Stegostoma tigrinum: one gene and its partners. The protein of the gene in region 1 purifies or fractionates together with the protein of each later gene. This does not show direct contact. Links are inferred from orthologs where the notes say so. Each region holds a gene or a part of one and is shown in the gene's direction. Other genes may lie near its edges.

The links.
Region 2: the proteins of kif23 (region 1) and racgap1 purify together in Homo sapiens (co-immunoprecipitation; 10 studies listed by BioGRID and IntAct, counting the BioPlex papers as one, with this or other methods). This does not show direct contact. The link is inferred for Stegostoma tigrinum from reciprocal best matches to the Homo sapiens genes KIF23 and RACGAP1.
Region 3: the proteins of kif23 (region 1) and ect2 purify together in Homo sapiens (co-immunoprecipitation; 3 studies listed by BioGRID and IntAct, with this or other methods). This does not show direct contact. The link is inferred for Stegostoma tigrinum from reciprocal best matches to the Homo sapiens genes KIF23 and ECT2.

What each region holds. Positions count from the first base shown.
Region 1 is NC_081386.1:31,623,810-31,631,057, forward strand, and holds the start of kif23 (kinesin-like protein KIF23), read left to right. Parts: upstream 1-4,141; 5' UTR 4,142-4,239; coding exon 4,240-4,250; intron 4,251-7,248.
Region 2 is NC_081404.1:14,134,128-14,141,270, reverse strand, and holds the start of racgap1 (rac GTPase-activating protein 1), read left to right. Parts: upstream 1-4,067; 5' UTR 4,068-4,078; coding exon 4,079-4,284; intron 4,285-6,231; coding exon 6,232-6,320; intron 6,321-7,143.
Region 3 is NC_081367.1:34,083,214-34,090,634, forward strand, and holds the start of ect2 (protein ECT2), read left to right. Parts: upstream 1-4,367; 5' UTR 4,368-4,575; coding exon 4,576-4,705; intron 4,706-7,421. UniProt on the Homo sapiens protein: Guanine nucleotide exchange factor (GEF) that catalyzes the exchange of GDP for GTP. Promotes guanine nucleotide exchange on the Rho family members of small GTPases, like RHOA, RHOC, RAC1 and CDC42.

The sequences.
Region 1 (7,248 bases):
GCCACTGTGCCAGGCTGGGAGATTGCCATGCCATGCCTGGAGGCTGCTGTGGCAGGCCATTGTGCCAGGCCAGGAGTTGTTGCTTAAGGCCTGGAATCATCACCGGACACTGGTAATCATTACTGGAGGCTGGGAATTGCCGCTTGAGACTGGGAACCAACACTAGAGGCTGGGAATCATCACCAGAGGGGAATCGCTGCAGGGGGCTGGGAATCACCGCCAGAGGCTGGGGATCTTTCCTAATAACATGTTTCCTATAGCAGGGAGATCAGAATTGAATGCAGTTTTCCAAAATCTGGGAGTTGTCAGGCATCACTGGCTCTTGTACTTTGAACTCTGGCCATACATTTGGTCAAGCATTGGCAGTCTGGAATTGTCCTTCACTGTCAAACGGCACAATGACAAATTCTCACAGCATAGATTCAGCATGGCAGACACTGTATTGCACACTGCCACCCCAATCACTTGTTAAGGACCAACTACACACCTCATGGTCCATATCCACTTCCCATCTCACAACCTTCTGTAAATCACTGCTACTCCACCACAATTCCCATTGGAGCCCAGCATCTTATCATTGATCACTTTGAGGCTGGCACAGACAGATAAGCCTTCAAACATAATTTATGAATAACTTTTATACTTAAATCAAAAGTGCTCAGAATTGAAACAAGCACAGGCTTCATTTCCCTACTCACTACACAAACAAGCCACTGGCACCTTGAGCACCAAGTATATTATAGTCAGGGAGTGATCATTACACCCAGCTCACTCCTGCTGGGCCAGGTGTCAATCACGTTCTACCTGGCTTTGTGGCACCCATTGTGGCAGGGCTCGGCTTTGCGCAAGGCGATGTTCCATAAGTAGACAAAAAAATTGCTGGAAGAGCTCAGCAGGTCTGGCAGCACCTTCTGACAGAAATCAGAGTTAATGCTTTGGTTCCAGTGCCCCTTCCTCAGAACACATATTCCATATCAAATATTCCATAAGATGGAGCAGAAATAGGCCATTCAGCCCATTGAGTCTGCTCCTCCTTTGAATGAGATCATGGCTGACATGACAATCCTTGGCTCCACTTTCCTACCTTTACCCCGTAACCCTTGATTTCTTCACTGAATAAAAATCTATCTCAGCCTTGAATATAGTGAATGATGTAGCCTTGAAAGGCTTACTTCTGCTCCCAAACATGTCTCCTTCTACCCAGAGCAGTGGCTCATCAGCAATTTGCAAAGGTTATAACAGTGAAAGTAAACGGTGGGTTCCCAATTGATACCCAGAACCTTCAAACCGATTTTAAGGATAACGCAGCTCCTGAACCTATTCTCCCTTCACAAAGAGTCTCCAAATCTGGATGCCAGTCAGGGGCTGTGTCAAGTTGCCTCCAAAATGTCCACACTGGCTCCAACTCTCCCTGGGGACAGAAGGTCATGGCTTTAAAGCACATGGCAGAGACTCGAACAAATTATTCAGGCTGACACTTCCAGTGCAATGCTGAGCGAGAGCTACACATCAGAGATGCAGGATTTTGGATGAAACATTGAGCTGAGATCCTCAGAAGGGCATCAGATAAAAGATCCCATGGGCATGTTTTGAGGAGTAGTAGTGAGTTTTCCCTGGTCTCCTGGCCAATACCCAGCTCTCACATCAACATCACCGAAAGAACATTATCTCATCATTATTGCATTGCTGTCTGAGGAATCTTGTTGTGTGCAAAATGGTTGTCATGTTTCTTAAATTAGGTCAGTAATAAAAGTTTTAAAAATCCTCCCTTATATAACACTTTTTGAATGTCAAAGTCATGAAAGATATTGCTTAAATACCAGAATTTAAGAAAGCCTGGCTACGGCTGTTATATAGCAGGGTAGTGTTTTGTAGGATAGTCCAGTTAAGAATAAGGGGTCACACATTTAAGTCAGAGATAAGGAGGGATATCTTTTCTGAGACAGTAGAGAATCTGTGGAATTGTTTACCATAGAGGATTGTCAAGGTATATAAATAATTATATTAAAGGCTGAGATAGACAAATGTTTAATCAGTAAGGGTGTGGTGAAAAAGCAAGAAAGTAGAGTTGAGAATCATCAGATCAGCTATAATCTCATTGAATGATGAGCAGACTTGATAGGCTAAATGGCCTATTTCTGCTCCTGTATTTTACGTTCTATTTAAAAATCCCCATTACGTGAATTACGCTGCTATACCAGCAGCATCTGTTTGAGGGCACGTGTGAGCAGAGACTGTAAGCAGTTGATCATGTCACAATGACTTGAATGGTCCTTAATACCAATTGAGTGCAATCTGGAACGTCATTCCCTTGAAAGCGACAGGCCAAACAAACCTCAGGCAAATCAAAGCATATAGAAACATACATGTAGCTCTAAGGTTTTAGAGTAGATCTGTAGCTCAGGTTGTGTGTGTTGAGGTTGGTTGGCTCGCCGAGCTGGTTTGATGTTTCGCAGATGTTTCGTTACAGTGCTTGGTAACATCCTCAGTGCAGCCTCCGATGAAGCATCGGTGTGTTTTCCTGCCTGGTTTTTAAACTCTGGGGTCCGGTAAGATGGATTGCCTCACTTCCAGTTTTCCTTCATAGTGGAATGTATACGGGGTCGAGTTCAATGTGTTTATTAAGAGTCTGCTTCGTGGAGTGCCATGCTTCCAGGAATCCTCGTGCTTGTCTCTGCCTAGCCTGTCCCAGGATCTTGGTGTTGTCCCAGTCAAAGTCGTGGTTCTCCTTGTCCATGTGGATTAAGGTGAGTGATTATTGGTTGTGTCTTTTTGTAGCCAGTTGGTGTTCATGTATTCTTGCTGTTAGTTTCCTTCCTGTTTGTTTGATGTAGTGTTTCTCGTAGTCTCTGCAGGGGATCTTGCAGATGAAATTGGTCCTGTCCATGGCGGGGAGTGGATCTTTAGTTTGGATGAGCACTTGTCACAGGGTTAATGTAGGTTTGTGTGCCACTCTGATGCCCAGTGGTCGTAGAAGTCTTGTGGTGAGTTCTGATGTATTCCTCATGTAGGGGTAGTGTGATGAGTGTGTCGGGGCATGTAGAATCTTTCTGATGCTGTTCCTATAGGCATCTCCTGACCCAGTTCTTTGAATATCTATTATCCTTGAACACTTGGAAGAGGTATTCCTCCTCCTCCTGGCGTAGTGAAGCACTTACTTGCTTTTTCACCATACCCTATGACTGTATTAGTCCTGCCCTGATCTGCCTTTCCAAAATGTAGCACCTCACATTTATCTAAATTAAAGTTCATTTGCCAGTCCTCAGCCCATTGGCCCATCTGATCAAGGTCCCACTGTACTCTGAGGTAACCTCCTTCGCTGTGCACTACAGCTTCAATCTCATTAACCATACCTCCTATGTTCACATTCGAATCATTTATAGAAATGACAAAAAGCAGTGGACCCAGTACATTGGACCTCTCTGATGAAGGGTCTAGGCCCGAAACGTCAGCTTCTGTGCTCCTGAGATGCTGCTGGGCCTGCTGTGTTCATCCAGCCTCACATTTTATTATCTTGGATTCTCCAGTTCCCATTATCCCAGCACATTGCTGGTCACAAGCCTCCAGTCTATAGTTTTCTCATAACTATAGTTTCGTGATCCGAGCAACAATGGAGAAATCAAACAAGCTCTAGGTTAATGATAAACCTTGACACTAGTGACATTGACAGCTAGGAATACGCACGCGCCAGCTTTCCGCTGTGGCAATACGCATGCGCCAGCTTCCCCTCGCAAAAGCGGTGCGCATGCTTCAACTGTCCCCAGATAACAAAGTGTGCAGCTGGATGAACACAGCAGGCCCAGCAGCATCTCAGGAGCACAAAAGCTGTCGTTTCGGGCCCAGACCCTTCATCCCCAACTTCAACTGTCCCCACTCGGCTGCGGTGCGCATTCGCTCGCTCCCTCGGCTTGCAAGCCGTGGCGGCGCGCATGCGCAAATTCCGCCATGCCGATGAAGTCCGCTGAGTTCCCCTCGCAGCGATGCGCATGGGCTTGGCTGGCCCCTCCCCTTGGGCAGACCATGTACGGGAAGGGAACAAGTGCGCGTGCGCACCGGACCCGCGGCCTGATTGACAGGAGGATGGAGCCTGTCCAATGGGAGGTGGGGAGAGCCCGGGCCAATGGGAAAGGCGCGGGATTTGAATTGACGGCGGTTGGTGTCGGCGCGGAGGCAGAGCTGTAGCTGGAGCGGCTGCGGGAGGAGTATTGCCCCGCTGTCTGTTATAATTAAAAACTAACGATGAAAACAACGTGAGTATAGATTGTCAGGTTAAACTCCTCTCGATCGATTGATTTTAGATCACGCACTTCTAACCAGCTCTCGCGTTCTTCAACTTTATTCTTCTTTTGTCAGTCTCCATGAATGGCTCCTTTAAAGTTTGAAACTATTTTATTTCGCCCCCGGGGTGACCACTTCCAAGCAAAAAAAAATCATGAAAAATGTGACTTTTAATTGATTTTTGTTTTCAAATTGTACCATCTTAACCTCGTTCTTACTGTTGATGTGTAATGTTTCAATTTTTATTCTACTGATTTTTAAAAATATTTTTACCTACTCGGTAAATATTTTTAAAATTCTACTTGTTTTAAAGGATTGCTTTTATTTGTGACTATGGTCACAATTGGGATCTCTGAGCTGCAACAACAGCCTGCATTTATATTAGCAGCTTCTTAATGTGTTCATCTGTCCCGAGGTTCGTCAGTGTGTGTCATCCTGGTGTCCTCTGTTTTGAATCGTAGCTGAGTGTTTCACTTCCACACACACCCTGCTGACAAAAAAAAACCCTGCAGGTTCCTTTTGTTTTAAAAGCATGGAAAATCTGGACTAGTTCTGATATAGTAACTTGCATTTGTGCCGTATTTTGCATGTAGTGTCATTCCAAGATGATTCACAGAAATGTTAACTGGACAAAACTGTGCTTTAACAACCTCCAAGGAATTGAGTTTGGATGTCCACTTGATCACAGGTAGCTTTAAGCAAAGAATGTTTTAATGTGGGGAGAGAATGAGGTTAAGGCAGGGATTTCCAAGCCTTAGATTATAAAATTCAAAGTATGAAATAATGGGTCTAAAAGCAACTGGAATATTTTTCATTCTGGGTGCCTTGTTTTAGGTAAGATGTTAGGCTTACATGAAAAGTACCAGGGAAAGCACAGTTTGAAATGTTTTGAAAGATTAAATAATGAGAAACTTTTCCTGGCCCACCTAAGGTAGCTGGCATGATAACTAGAGGTGAAATGAGACAGTCTATGTTTTCATCAGATTTTAAGACAGTAGGTCTAAATGTTAAATTGAGCTCCACGCAATCAATGGTCTTGCAAAGAATGCTAGAGTCCTGTGATAGGTCAGACTTATTGATGTGTTACCTTATTTCTAGTAAATTGGCTTTTGTTGGCAGCACTGTATGCCTAAGAGGAGTTGATCTATTCTTGTGCAAAAAAAGGGCACCTCTAGCAGCCCACCGACTCCCACAGCTACCTAGAATACACCTCCTCCCACCCACCCTCCTGCAAAAATTCCATCCCCTATTCCCAATTCCTCCGCCTCCGCCGCATCTGCTCCCACGATAAGACATTCCACTCCCGCACATCCCAGATGTCCAAGTTCTTTAAGGACCGCAACTTTCCCCCCACAGTGATCGAGAACGCCCTTGACCGCGTCTCCCGTATTTCCCGCAAAACATCCCTCACACCCTGCCCCCGCCACAACCGCCCAAAGAGAATCCCCCTCGTTCTCACACACCACCCTACCAACCTCTGGATACAACGCATCATCCTCCGACACTTCCGCCATTTACAATCCGACCCCACCACCCAAGACATTTTTCCATCCCCACCCCGGTCTGCTTTCCGGAGAGACCACTCTCTCCGTGACTCCCTTGTTCGCTCCACACTGCCCTCCAACCCCACCACACCCGGCACCTTCCCCTGCAACCGCAGGAAATGCTACACTTGCCCCCACGCCTCCTCCCTCACCCCTATCCCAGGCCCCAAGATGACATTCCACATTAAGCAGAGGTTCACCTGCACATCTGCCAATGTGGTATACTGCATCCACTGTACCCGGTGCGGCATCCTCTACATTGGGGAAACCAAGCGGAGGCTTGGGGACCGCTTTGCAGAACACCTCCGCTCAGTTCGCAACAAACAACTGCACCTCCAGTCGCAAACCATTTCCACTCCCCCCTCCCATTCTCTAGATGACATGTCCATCATGGGCCTCCTGCAGTGCCACAATGATGCCACCCGAAGGTTGCATGAACAGCAACTCATATTCCGCCTGGGAACCCTGCAGCCTAATGGTATCAATGTGGACTTCACCAGTTTCAAAATCTCCCCTTCCCCTACTGCATCCCTAAACCAGCCCAGTTCGTCCCCTCCCCCCACTGCACCACACAACCAGCCCATCTCTCTCTCTCCCTCTCTCCTGCCCCGCCCCGCATCCCAAAACCAGTCCAACCTGTCTCTGCCTCCCTAACCGGTTCTTCCTCTCACCCATCCCTTCCTCCCACCCCAAGCCGCACCCCCATCTACCTACTAACCTCATCCCACCTCCTTGACCTGTCCGTCTTCCCTGGACTGACCTATCCCCTCCCTACCTCCCCACCTATACTCTCTCCACCTATCTTCTTTACTCTCCATCTTCGGTCCGCCTCCCCCTCTCCCCCTATTTATTCCAGTTCCCTCACCCCATCCCCCTCTCTGATGAAGGGTCTAGGCCCGAAACGTCAGCTTTTGTGCTCCTGAGATGCTGCTTGGCCTGCTGTGTTCATCCAGCCTCACATTTTATTATCTTGGAATTCTCCAGCATCTGCAGTTCCCATTATCTCTCACCTCTAGCAGTGAGAGCTGCACCAGAGTATCAGGCAGGATTTTTATACTCAAGTCCTGGAAGTAGGATTGTGAACCTGGAGCCTTATGATTCAGAAGTGAATGCTTCTAATTAAGCCAGAAATAACAACAAAAGTTGACACTGCCTCTTTGAACTGTGCCTCTAATTGTTTTGCAACTTAATGTTGTGTTCCAAATATCCTCTTTACTAAATGATGCTGTTGCTGCACTCCACTGACTTCTGTGGCAGTACTATGATATTAGCGTTAAGGCTGGCCTGGGATTCATTCAATAGTGTTGCTTTGTCACTGGAGCCCTGAGAACAATGATCTCGCTCTTTTGCTCTGGAGAAAGAGCTTTTCGTGCTCTGAGGTATTTCCCACTCTTGTGCACAGTGGTATTTCAGATTGCTGGACTCT
Region 2 (7,143 bases), on another chromosome or scaffold:
TTATTCGTGCTTTATCTTGCTATGATAAAGCATACCATGAGCGGAGTGTAGGTGAGAAAGCAAGCTATCCTTTACTTAGAAAAGACTCCTGCTCTTATATGGAAGCCCATCGCTAATGTCAAGAAAGCTAACAGGTTATAGTTCAACACCAGCATCTCCACATCAGGAAAGCTAACGACAGGAATATTATCCGAATATGAGTCAGACCAGCCAGAATGCAGTTGTGTCGAGAGATAATAAAGGCACGGGTGAAGGTTTTAGCTGCAGATGACCAACTTCGTTCCTGCCTCAGCCTAATGTTCCAGCTAATTATGGATATACAAAGGTTGCCAATCTAGATCCAAGTTGCATAAAGAAATGGTAGCCATGATACAACAGTAACAAATTATTGTCAAACCTTTCTCGACTGTCTGGTTAAAATCTTTAAGGTTTGTGCCCCTTTTCATTGGGTAGGTGAGATAAGACAAGTCGAACCAAGCCAGCAGGGTGACATGACTAGAACATTTCCAATCGGCCAATGAGGGAATCGACTTCTTTGCAAGGAGACGGGAGCGATCCCACCCCCGCCCTCAATACCTTCGAGATGATGGGAACTGCAGATGCTGGAGATTCCAAGATAATAAAATGTGAGGCTGGACGAACACAGCAGGCCAAGCAGCGTCTCAGGAGCACAAAAGCTGACGTTTCGGGCCTAGACCCTTCATCAGAGAGGGGGATGGGGGGAGGGAACTGGAATAAATAGGGAGAGAGGGGGAGGCGGACCGAAGATGGAGAGTAAAGAAGATAGGTGGAGAGAGTGTAGGTGGGGAGGTAGGGAGGGGATAGGTCAGTCCAGGGAAGACGGACAGGTCAAGGAGGTGGGATGAGGTTAGTAGGTAGCGGGGGGTGCGGCTTGGGGTGGGAGGAAGGGATGGGTGAGAGGAAGAACCGGTTAGGGAGGCAGAGACAGGTTGGACTGGTTTTGGGATGCAATGGGTGGGGGGGAAGAGCTGGGCTGGTTGTGTGGTGCAGTGGGGGGAGGGGACGAACTGGGCTGGTTGAGGGATGCAGTCGGGGAAGGGGAGATTTTGAAGCTGGTGAAGTCCACATTGATACCATATGGCTGCAGGGTTCCCAGGCGGAATATGAGTTGCTGTTCCTGCAACCTTCGGGTGGCATCATTGTGGCAGTGCAGGAGGCCCATGATGGACATGTCATCAAGAGAATGGGAGGGGGAGTGGAAATGGTTTGCGACTGGGAGGTGCAGTTGTTTTTTGCGAACTGAGCGGAGGTGTTCTGCAAAGCGGTCCCCAAGCCTCCGCTTGGTTTCCCCAATGTAGAGGAAGCCGCACCGGGTACAGTGGATGCAGTATACCACATTGGCAGATGTGCAGGTGAACCTCTGCTTGATGTGGAATGTCATCTTGGGGCCTGGGATGGGGGTGAGGGAGGAGGTGTGGGGACAAGTGTGGCATTTCCTGCGGTTGCAGGGGAAGGTGCCGGGTGTGGTGGGGTTGGAGGGCAGTGTGGAGCGAACAAGGGAGTCACGGAGAGAGTGGTCTCTCCGGAAAGCAGACAGGGGAGGGGATGGAAAAATGTCTTGGGTGGTGGGGTCGGATTGTAAATGGCGGAAGTGTCGGAGGATAATGCGTTGTATCCAGAGGTTGGTAGGGTGGTGTGTGAGAACGAGGGGGATCCTCTTGAGGCGGTTGTGGCGGGGGCGGGGTGTGAGGGATGTGTCGCGGGAAATGTGGGAGACGCGGTCAAGGGCGTTCTCGATCACCGTGGGGGGAAAGTTGCGGTCCTTAAAGAACTTGGACATCTGGGATGTGCGGGAGTGGAATGTCTTGTCGTGGGAGCAGATGCGGCGGAGGCGGAGGAATTGGGAATAGGGGATGGAATTTTTGCAGGAGGGTGGGTGGGAGGAGGTGTATTCTAGGTAGCTGTGGGAGTCGGTGGGCTTGAAATGGACATCAGTTACAAGCTGGTTGCCTGAGATGGAGACTGAGAGGTCCAGGAAGGTGAGGGATGTGCTGGAGATGGCCCAGGTGAACTGAAGGTTGGGTTGGAAGGTGTTGGTGAAGTGGATGAACTGTTCGAGCTCCTCTGGGGAGCAAGAGGCGGCGCCGATACAGTCATCAATCCTCCACCGACACTCTCATCCGCCTAGCTGAACTCGTCCTCACACTCAACAACTTCTCTTTTGACTCCTCCCACTTCCTACAGACTAAGGGGGTGGCCATGGGCACCCGCATGGGCCCCAGCTATGCCTGCCTCTTTGTAGGTTACGTGGAACAGTCCCTCTTCCGCACCTACACAGGCCCCAAACCCCACCTCTTCCTCCGGTACATTGATGACTGTAACGGCGCCGCCTCTTGCTCCCCAGAGGAGCTCGAACAGTTCATCCACTTCACCAACACCTTCCAACCCAACCTTCAGCTCACCTGGGCCATCTCCAGCACATCCCTCACCTTCCTGGACCTCTCAGTCTCCAACTCAGGCAACCAGCTTGTAACTGATGTCCATTTCAAGCCCACCGACTCACACAGCTACCTAGAATACACCTCCTCCCACCCACCCTCCTGCAAAAATTCCATCCCCTATTCCCAATTCCTCCGCCTCCGCCGCATCTGCTCCCACGACAAGACATTCCACTCCCGCACATCCCAGATGTCCAAGTTCTTTAAGGACCGCAACTTTCCCCCCACGGTGATCGAGAACGCCCTTGACCGCGTCTCCCACATTTCCCGCGACACATCCCTCACACCCCGCCCCCGCCACAACCGCCCCAAGAGGATCCCCCTCGTTCTCACACACCACCCTACCAACCTCCGGATACAACGCATTATCCTCCGACACTTCTGCCATTTACAATCCGACCCCACCACCCAAGACAATTTTCCATCCCCTCCCCTGTCTGCTTTCCGGAGAGACCACTCTCTCCGTGACTCCCTTGTTCGCTCCACACTGCCCTCCAACCCCACCACACCCGGCACCTTCCCCTGCAACCGCAGGAAATGCCACACTTGTCCCCACACCTCCTCCCTCACCCCTATCCCAGGCACCAAGATGACATTCCACATCAAGCAGAGGTTCACCTGCACATCTGCCAATGTGGTATACTGCATCCACTGTACCCGGTGCGGCTTCCTCTACATTGGGGAAACCAAGCGGAGGCTTGGGGACTGCTTTGCAGAACACCTCCGCTCAGTTCGCAACAAACAACTGCACCTCCCAGTCGCAAACCATTTCCACTCCCCCTCCCATTCTCTAGATGACATGTCCATCATGGGCCTCCTGCAGTGCCACAATGATGCCACCCGAAGGTTGCAGGAACAGCAACTCATATTCCGCCTGGGAACCCTGCAGCCATATGGTATCAATGTGGACTTCACCAGCTTCAAAATCTCCCCTTCCCCCACCGCATCCCTAAATCAGCCCAGTTCGTCCCCTCCCCCCACTTCACCACACAACCAGCCCAGCTCTTCCCCCCCACCCACTGCATCCCAAAACCAGTCCAACCTGTCTCTGCCTCCCTAACCTGTTCTTCCTCTCACCCATCCCTTCCTCCCACCCCAAGCCGCACCCCCAGCTACCTACTAACCTCATCCCACCTCCTTGACCTGTCCGTCTTCCCTGGACTGACCTATCCCCTCCCTACCTCCCCACCTACACTCTCTCCACCTATCTTCTTTACTCTCCATCTTCGGTCCGCCTCCCCCTCTCTCCCTATTTATTCCAGTTCCCTCCCCCCATCCCCCTCTCTGATGAAGGGTCTAGGCCCGAAACGTCAGCTTTTGTGCTCCTGAGATGCTGCTTGGCCTGCTGTGTTCATCCAGCCTCACATTTTATTATCTCAATACCTTCGATGCGTGATTGCGTCATTGGGGCGTACGTGGCACGTCAGGAGACCGTATCCTGATTGGCGGTTGAAGCAAATTTGAAATCAGGCCGCGAAAACGTCTGGAGTAACGGAGCCGGAACCAGGTGGAGAGCGGCGGACAAAGCGGTAAGGGCTCCTGGGGGAAAATGGGTCGGGAATCTAGAGATTGTTTTTGCTCTCCCCTCTTGAGATCGGTGCCGTTCCCCCGATAGCGGGATGTTGTTGATTTTAAGTTGGGTGGGCGATGGTAGTCGGGCTCCTGGGCCCCGTGGAAAAGCGGGAAGTGTCGTTCGTCTCCTTCCAGGATCTCCGCGATCAGAGAAAAGGCGAGCCCTTTGTGGTGATCGAGATATGTGCTGGGCCCTCGAGTGTATTAAAAATGTCTGTATAGCACTAGGCCATTGGCTACTTGATAAAGCCAGGTATTTCTCTCGCCTTCCCCATCTGTAGAATGTCCTAAAGTGCTTCACAGTAAAGAATGAACGTTTTCAACCGTAATTACTGCTGTAGTATAGGAAACACTGCGGCTAAATTGCACACAGCAATCTCCCGCAAACAGAAATGTGGAAATGAACCCAGATAATTGTCTTTTGTTATGTTAGTTTGAGGTACAAATATTTGCCAGGACACCAGAGGACTTCCCAGTTCGGTCACAGAGTGCCTCAGGATCGTCATGCAACCAAGCTAATAAGAACTGCAGATGCTGGAGAATCTGAGATAACAAGGTGTAGAGCTGGATGAACACAGCAGGCCAAACAGCATCAGAGGAACAGGAAAACTGACGTTTTGAGCCTCGATCCTTCATCAGAAATGGGTCTAGGCCTGAAATGTCAGCTTTCCTGCTCCTAAGATGCTGCTTGACCTGCTGTGTTCATCCAGCTCTACACATTATTATGTTGCATCCACACCAGTTTAATGTCTCATCCAAAAGACAGCACTTCTCTGACAGTGCAGCACTGCATTGGGAGTACCAGTTTAGATCTTGGTATTCAATTCTCTGATGTGGGAATTGAAACCAAGAGTGCTACTAATTGTTTTGTTAATTGCAGTAATATAGCTGTCAACCTTGTGTGTTGATGGATCTGCAGGCAAGAAATGCTGACTGGGTTGAGAAATGGAAAGACTTTCTTTCCACCCAGAGAAAGTGTAATGTGTTAACTTTAATGTTATGTGGTTCACTCTTGTAGCTTCAATGAAGTAATTTCAATTCATAGCACTGATTTTTAACCCCCTCACTGCAATCCTGATGCTGTACATTTCTGGTCTTGCATAGAGTGCTCTGTGTACTTGAATGGGATGTAGTTAGATATCAGCATTTATTGCTTCAGCAATAGCTTTTTATAAAGTTTTTGTTCAATTTGAGTTGGAGAGGCGCAAGATTCAAAAACAGAAATTTTAGTACTTTGAAGTGAATGGTTTCCCCATCTGTTAATGCTATAAGTTGCAACACATTGTGTCGTTAGAACTTGGATTTTAAACACTTAATAGGTCTGCAATACTTAATGTGACTGCCTCATCAAATTTGAGGGTTGTTTAAGCAATCTCTTGCGAATGCAGTTATTTTTGGAACAAATATTATTGTCAAAAATCTCTGTGGAATGACTTCGAAATCAAGGAGCTGCTGCTGCAGCACTGTTTTTATATTGCTGGAGGCCTTTTGGCTGCGATATGTCACTGAGATTCTTCAGTTTGTTTTAGTTGCTTCATTTAAATTCCATGGAAATTTTAGTCCTTAAACTGTTATCAGTTATAATTGGACATGATTTAGTTTAATAAAGTATTGTTTTTGTCACTATTTGCATCAAGCTGTCTTTAACACTGACTGGTAAAATCATGACATGCTCAGAATTTCCACGAAGTAAATATTAATAGTAAATTTTGTGCTGTTGAGTGATTGTTGGCATTGTGCTACTGTGTTTCTTTAAAAACCCTTCAGCTCTTGTCTTTTGCTGTGAATTAATACTGAGCTGGGATTTTTGAAATTGAGCTGGTGACGAGCCTGATCTCCATCTTTGGGCTGATGGCCATTTTATGATTTTTGTTTTAAAGCATCATCGGTAGGTTTATTCCTGCAAACATGCACACGATACCTTTTTTGTGACTTTGAGCCAACTGTTCATTCCTAGCAGATATCGGTGTGGGCAGAACATTGACCCTCACCTGAAGTAACTGTAGGACTAAAATTGAGTTGGTTGAAAATTACATTTTGGAGTAATTTGAATCTTCTCCTGGTTTTTCTCCCCATACAAGTCCAGTGTGTGAATATTGCAAGACAATATTGCACCAAGAATCTTGGTTTAAAACAGAGATGTGTGGAAGCTGTCACTTGTAGTTCCCTTGCTTTTCTTATGCATTAATCTCTTTTATAGGAAAATGGAATCTGCCATGGTCACTCTACGCAACATGTTCGAGCAGTTGCTCAGACAGATGGAAGTACTGAATGAAGGAATTGAACCTCGTAAGCATTTTTAGCTTTGCTAATGTTGGGGTATGGCCATGATCAGTGATGTTATTCATCTAGATTTCTGTGAGATACTTTGAATTTTAGTTTTCAGTATATTTGTATAAAACTGGGAGATAGGATACCAAAGCTGGCTTGGTGAGCTGTAAAACTGCATCATGAAGCTTTGCAGATCAACCAAAATATTTGGACTACCAAAGTAATTCATTAATTTTCAAGCACAAAGATTCAATTGTTTGTATTTCTGCCAGTACAATATGCTGACTCTTTTTGACTTTACCCAATGGGACTAAGAGAACCACTGACTTTGTATTAAATTATATTAAATATTAATAATTTGTCTGCCTGTGATTCCACTGTGCTTTGTATATTGATTCAATAGTTAATGTATGTGCATTTTCACTCACTGTTGAGCTTTTGTGTTGAATCTATTATCTTCTCTATACCTCCCATCACCACCCCCCCCCCCACATCATGTATATGTTCTGCCTCAAGCTGATCTCTCATTTTTCAATGTGTCAGTTTTGTAAGCATTTCAATCTCATTCCGCTTTGTCTCAGTATCAATTATAATCCACACTGCTCAAGTTTCTCCCCCTCAAATTTCTTGAGTCCTGGTGGTTTGAGTGGATCTGTTCACTATGTGCTACTTTGTGTCTAACCATTAATACCGGTGAACAAGTCTGACATGAAGAATAGCCCTTTTTAAAGCAGCTAGACCTGGGAAACTTGAAGAGAGAGCAGCAGAATTTGAAGTATAAACTCAATTTGGAAATTAGTCACTCTGGGTGTCACCCAAGCTAAAAGGGCCAGGGAATTGA
Region 3 (7,421 bases), on another chromosome or scaffold:
ACAGAGACCGGAGAAATTACTGTGGGGATTCAGGGACATGGAACAAATATTTTGTCTTCATTTTATAGAAGACCAGTTATAAAAAATAGAGAATAATTTAAAGCTATTAAGAGTGATGAAATTCATTTCAGCAGAAAGAAAATACTGGAGAAACTTGAGGTACTAAAAGCCAACAAATCCCCATAATCTGATGGCCTATGTCCTAAATTTTTTTTTAAATAGAGATAACTACCAAGATATTGGTTTCCAAAGCGCTGTAGCTTCTGGAATGGCCCTCGCAGGTCACAAGTCAGCAAATGTAAAATTGATATTCAAGAAAGGAGCGAGAAAGAAAACCAAGACCACAGGCCAATTAGTTTAATCTCTGACAGCAGGAAAGCATTCAAATCTATCAATCAAAGTTTTAACAGTGCATTTAGAAAATACTTGTATGATTACAATACAATACGTCATTGTAGTTTGATCAAAGAGAAATCGTATTTGATAAAAGTATTAGCAATTTTTTTAAAAAAAACAAATAGCTAATAGAGTAGATAAGGGATAAGCTGCTGTATACTTGAATTTCAAAAAGATATTTGATAAGGTGCTACGCAAAGTGTTAATAGGCAAGATAAGGGCTTAGGGAGTTTGGGGTGTTACAATAGAATAAATAGAAAATTGTTTAATGGACAGGAGCATGGTATATATTCAAGTTGGCAGGCTATGTCCAGTAGAGTGCTGCAAAGATCAGTGCTTTATACAATCTTATACAAATTTATACAATTTTCTGTGAATCAGAAAAAAAACTTGAGTGTGACGTATCAAACTTTGCTGATGATTCAAATCCAAGTGTCAATGCAATAAAATCAACAACAGGCTGCAAAGAGGTAAATACAGTGAGTAGGAAATAATGTGGTATATATGTAATGTGAAGGTTTATGAGGTTATTTGCTTTTGCTGTAAGAACAGAAAAACAATCATTTTTAAAAAGCATGCATCTTGGACATGTTACTGTTTAGAAACCTTGGTTTTCCTGACACAGGAACACCTTTAGTATGTAAGTACAGCAAGCAATTAGGAAAGCAAATAGGATATTGGCCTCTATTTCCAGTGGGCCAGTCGATGAATTTAAAAAAATGCATTTGTACATTACACTTTAAATATTGAGTCCAATGTGACACCAACCTGATATTAGTGATTTAAAGAGGAGAAGCAATTCTCTGGTGTGTGTGTATTAAACACTTGGTCATTGACTGTCATGCACATACAGGCAACTGCATGCTGCAAGTATGTGCCATTTCCTATGCTGCACCAGATTTGCAAGCCATTTTTGATCTCTCAGAATTCTGCATACGAGACATTCTGTTAGTCCTTGAATGTTGCCAAAACTAAACTCATATATCAATCTAAACCTGGTCAGTCAAATATTCCATCCATATATTTTGAAAGAGAGACTCTGGAAGATGTTGAGCACTTCCGGTCACTTGGCAGCCACCTTTCACAAAAGACCACGATTGGTGAGGAGTAAGGCATTTGATTTGGATATCTATTACATCCCTGGTACCTTGGACATGCTTAGCAAATTAATAAACCTGAATAAAAATGCTGGAAGCTTAATTAGACTCACTAGTAGACAGTATGGACACAGATGGAAGAAGTACTTATAATCAGTCTGATAAATATTGGTTACCACAAATACAACCAACCTCAGGAAGAAACAGCAAATGATCCATGACTGAAAAGTTATACAAGGATAGCCAGACTCTAACGCTTCTACCTATGCAAAGTGGAACTAGATATCTCAAAAGGTGAATTACTAAAGGGAAACAAGTGCCTATACCTGAAGTTCTTAGCTAAGACCTTTCATTGTAGCTTCAGCGACACATGGACATCACACGATCAAGATGACTGGCGAGGAATTCTGTCCGTTAGCCAGAGATCAATGATGATGTCAAGAAAACATTGAGGATGTACAGGGTGCCAGAGTCACCAAGCAGAGAACACAAAGAACTTCTACACCCTCATGAGATTCCATCGTTCTCTTTGTCCAGATTTGCAACAGATTTAGTCACCATTCATAGTGATAATTTTCTCCTTGTCAATGAATATTTATCTAAATTTCCAGTTGTCACAGTTAAAGAAAATTTAGTGTGTCTTTGTAGCAGATATAATGTGTGAAATATTCAGTTTACTCAATACACCTTAAGAAATCATATCTAACAGTGGAGCACACACTACAGGCTGGCTTTTTTAGGGACTTGTGTGTCAAATGAGGCATGAGCCATTAGACAGCTTCACCAGATTATCTCAGATCTAATCGTCTTGATGCACAAATGATCTGCAATGTTAAAAATATTTAACATGGAGCACAGGGTGACAAAACGGAATGTTCATATTCCTATGTATGCAACACCTAAAAGGAATACTTCTGGATACGGATTTATCAGCAGAGATTGTCTTTGGAAGTCAAGTGAGAAAAAATCATGTTCTGACACATATGGGACAAATTTATTGAAAAAACAAGGGAGAATTAAGAAAAGATATGACTATCATGCAGGTGTGGAACGGCCTAATTTACATGTGGCACTGTGGATCAGCATCAAAAATTCTACCTGCATTGGTATCCAAAATACCAATGAACCTGTTCAGTAAACCTACAGTTTTCAAAATAACAATACCTAGTTGAGCAACATTGAAGAGAAACAGAAACCAATTGAGTGAAATGTACAACTGCACATAGAAAACAAAGGTTTGGAAGAGCATCATGACAATGAACAACACAAATAACTTGCAAGAAACTAACGCACATGCCAGTCAAGGGCAACCAAATGTGAAGTCTAGATATTACGAAAGTTATACCATTACACGATCTGTAGAGTTGTCTCATCAGCTTTTAAGAATGGCAAAATTTACCAACTTTGTTTCGTGTAAATAGTTTTGCAACCACCTAATGTAAATATAATTTCACTCAGTGCAGGTAGATTTACCATAGAGGCAGAAAATCAGGAATTTTGTGTTGCTGATTTAAGTTTTTTTATGCCAATGAGCCAAGTACCAGAATGATCAGCAGATGAGGATTCCAAGCAGCAGCATGCTGGACCAAGAATGCTTACATGAGTTGTATGTAAGTTTGTCAAGTAAACCTGTTTGATATTTTCAAGTAAACTAAACTTACGCTTTTCACTAATCCAATACGAGTAGTAATTCAGCATTAAATAAAACAATTCAAGAATAAAACTGCTCCTGGTAGTCATAAAGTCTGCCGAAGAGCGTGTCCCTTTAAATAAACAAATTTTAAAACGTTTTGTCACTGCCAAGAGTGAGCAATTACACTAATATGTTCACCCACATCATGCAAACTTAAAGGGGAAAAAGAGGACTACATCAAAAAATTAAAGATTAATATATGTTCAGTTATTTTAAAATAGGAAGTAGCCAAAAAATCAACATAAAATTCTGCTTTAGAAAACCGTACGTTCTGGCTTCAGATGCCTCTACATCTTTCCCCAAATCTGCAGAAGAATCCGACACTAACTGTGCTTCCAGGGAATGTTTTCTTTGTTGAATCAGCTGACTGCACGCGTTAAGTGGTTTTCTGTTAAGACTAAAGGGAACAAAAACAGAAATTGGTGGAGAAACTCAGCAGGACTGGCAGCATTTGTTGACAGAGAGCAGAACTAACGTTTGTAATCCAGTGACCCTGCTTCAGAACGAGTTTCTGAGGAAGGGTCTCCAGCCGAAACGTCGAACTTTCCTGCTCCTCTGATGCTGCTTGGCCTGCTGTGATCATCCAGCTTCACACCTTGTTATCTCAGATACTCCAGCATTGGCAGTTCCTACTATCTCTCTAACAATTTCTGCTTTAGTTTAAGATTTTTAGCATCTGTAATTATTTGTTTCATTATACATCGAAAAAATAAAGGGAAGCTCGGTTCTGTGGTTTAAGTTATAAACTGCCTGAAAAATAGTCTATAATTAACAGCATTGATATCGTGTGGTTCGACTTTTTCAAACTGTGAACTGGATATTTGAATATATAGTATATAAATTAATAAACGTAAACAAACGTGGTTTCTTTCAATATAGTGTATGACGCTGAATAGTAGTTCATTACATGTCCAATTACAAGCTTTATGAAACAATCACTTTTCCAGATTTTCAGTATTTGAAAGTCTGTGCTTTCCGAAAGCCGCGGACGGTCATTTTTATCCGTTCGGGAGGGCACGATAGTTCACTGACCAATCAGCTATGGCCTAAGTGCCCACAGCTCCAATCATCGATGGTAGAATCTTAACAGTTCCGAGAATGGCCAATCAGAAAAGGACCTTCCCGGCATCGCCGGCATCTGCGTAGACCAATCAGAGAGGCGTTTAGAAGGGTGGCCCGAAGTTTGAATTTGGTCGTTTGTTTGGAGGTTGCGGTGGGCTCAGGTTCCAAAGCTGTTAGAAGGTGAGGGAAAGCGCCAAATTTGAATTGGGGCTCCGCTTTTTCACGACGCTTGCCCACGGTGCTGTGTCGGGGGTTCGCTTGGATTGACACGGAGTGGTTGTGTGTGCCTAAACAACCCAACATTCGCTGCTTGCAGCCGGACTGATAATGGCTGAGTGGAGCTCAGCGGCCGCCAGCGCCGGGAGTCTTCTGGTGGATTCATCCGGTTTCGATTCCAGACTCGCCGACTCCTCCAAGGAGCACCTCCTGATCGAGACCGTATCGGACGCCGTGGAAGGTAACGCGGATATTTGAGTGAGGTTCCGGTTCCAATGCCCGCAAGCGGTTACGGCACGTCACTTTACAATCCCCCGGGCCTTATTGGCACTTGATAAAGATCCAAGCTCCATCAGAGGTCATCTTCAACGGAAGATGCTACAACGGCTATTCCGACTATAAAAAAACTCATGAATAAATCTGTTCGAAGACACAGCACAGCTTTTAGTTTAGTATTCATTCTGCCCAGTGTAAATCGCTGTAGCAAACGAATATACGTACATAGGTTGAGGTTCCTGAGCTGCTCACTATAAGTAGGTATTATATTGGAGACTCAGAGATAGCATCTGCAGTTCTTGTTGGAGTTAGAGACAGCACAGTGTGGAGCTGGAGGAATACAGCACTTTGTGCTGTTAGAATCATTAAAGCTTTCATCTCAAAAAGTCATTTGGCCCATGGCGACTGCATCAACAAAGAATGGAGCCATCTAAACAAATTTCACTTGTCAATAAAACAGTTTCAGATATACAGCCTGGAAACAGACCCTTCAGTGCAACCTATCCTTGCCGACCACATACCCTAACTTAATCTAGACCCTTTGGCCATATCCTTCTAAGCCCTCCCTATTCACGTACCCATCTGGATGCCTTTTAAATGTTTTGAATTGTACCCGCTTCCACCACTTCCTCTGGTAACTCATTGCATACACGGACCACGCTCTGTGAAAAAGTTGCTCCTGAGGTTCATTTTTAAGTAACATACACTAAGCCGATACCTTACAATTGTGGACCCCTCTGTGCTGGGGAAAAGACCGTGGCTATTTGCCCAAACCATGCACCTTGTGATTTCATGAACTTCTACAATGTCAGCCTTCAGCCTCTGATGCTCCAGGGAAATTAGCTCTAGTTTATTCAGCTTCTCCCTTTAGTTCAAACCCTACAACCCTGGCAGCATCCTTGCAAATCTTTTCTGAGCCCTTTTCAGAAAATAAAGCAGAGTTTTCATGCTGTGTAACCCCCTAACCAAGAGTGCTGGAAATCTGAAACAAAAACAGAAAGTGCTGGAGAAACTCAGCAGGCTTAGCAGTATTTTGTAGAGGGAAAAACAAACTTAACAATGCTGCCAGATATGCAGTTCTCCAGCATGTTCTGTCTTTGTCCACTTTTCAGTGTTTGGTCTGAGTCCGTGCACTTTGCCGATTTGAATGTACCTCCAGAGATTTTTTTTACTGGTATTCTATCTGGCAGTGAGTTTCAAACACACTGCCTCTGGGCAAAAAGTCTTTTTTTTCCCTTTTCTACCTGTGCCCCTCCCCAATCTCTTAAGATATTTGAAACCTATACCTCTTAGTCACTGACCTTGCTAGAAAAATACTTACCTAACTACTCTATTGAGCCCTTCACCATTTTCTACATCTTCATCAAATCTCTCCTAAGCCACTTCTTTTCCAAAGAGAATAACTCCAGTTTTCCCATTCTCGGTAAAATGCTTGCAAATGTGTGTGGCACCTGCTGTAGTGCAGTTACCAATTTTTTTAAAATCAATTTGTTCAGACACTCCTCTGGAGCCTTTAAATTCTTTATGTAATGAAGTGTCTAGAATTGCACAAGTTATAAATTATTTTATAATATAACTTGTGTAGATTTCCAGGGTAACCTGTCTACTCTTGTATTTCATACCTCATGCTCATAAATGAAACATTCCATATGCTACCTTAACCACCTACTTGACCTTCTCTACTACCTTTGGGATGTGTGGTCATTCACTCTGAGGTCCTTCATTTTCTTTGCACCTTTTAATCTACTCCTGAAAATTATACATTTCTTTGCCCATGCACATCATCTTGCAGCTTTCTAGGTTCAATTCCATTTGTCACTTGTCTACTAACCAGACCGATCTAATGGTTATATTTCTACCTCCTTGCTATCAATCATGCAGTCAGTTTTTGACATCTGCAAACTTTATCTTGTCTTTTGTTAATATATGCCACAAAACAGGACACGCTGTTCTGAGCCTTGGAACACCAATGGAAAGCAGCCTTCCAGTTAGCAAAACAGCCGTCCACAATTGCCTTTGTTTCTTGTTATGAGTTAGAGTAACACAGCATAGAAACAGGCCCTTTGGTCCAAATTGGTCCAAGTCGACCACAGTGCCCACTCAACTAGTTCCAATTGCCCGCATTTGGTCCATATCCCTCTAAACCCTTCTCATCCATGTACGTATTCAGGTGTTTCTTAAAGTTGCTATTGTATCTGCCTCAGCCATTTTTCTCTGACAGCCCATTTCATATACACACCACTGTGTGAAGAAGTTGCCCCTTAGGTCCTTCTTAAATCGTTCCCCTGTCACCTTAAACCTATGCCCTCTAGTTTTCAACTCCCCCTCCCTGGGAAAAGACTATATGCATTCACCCTATCTATGTCCCACATGATTTTAAGCACCTCAATGAGGTCACCCCTCATTCTCCTACCTTCCAAGAAATAAAGTCCTATCTTGGCCAACCTCTCCCAATAACTCAGGCCTATTAGTGCTAGCAACATTCTTGTAAATCATCTTTGCACACTTTCCAGTTTAACTCTGTCTTCCATTTCACAGGCTGACCAAAGGTATACACAATATTCCAAATTCTTTTTGACCAATGATTTGTACAACTGTAACATGACATCCCAACTCCTATGCTCAAAGCCTTGACTGATGAAGGCCAGCATGCTAAATGTCTTCACCACCCTGTTCACCTG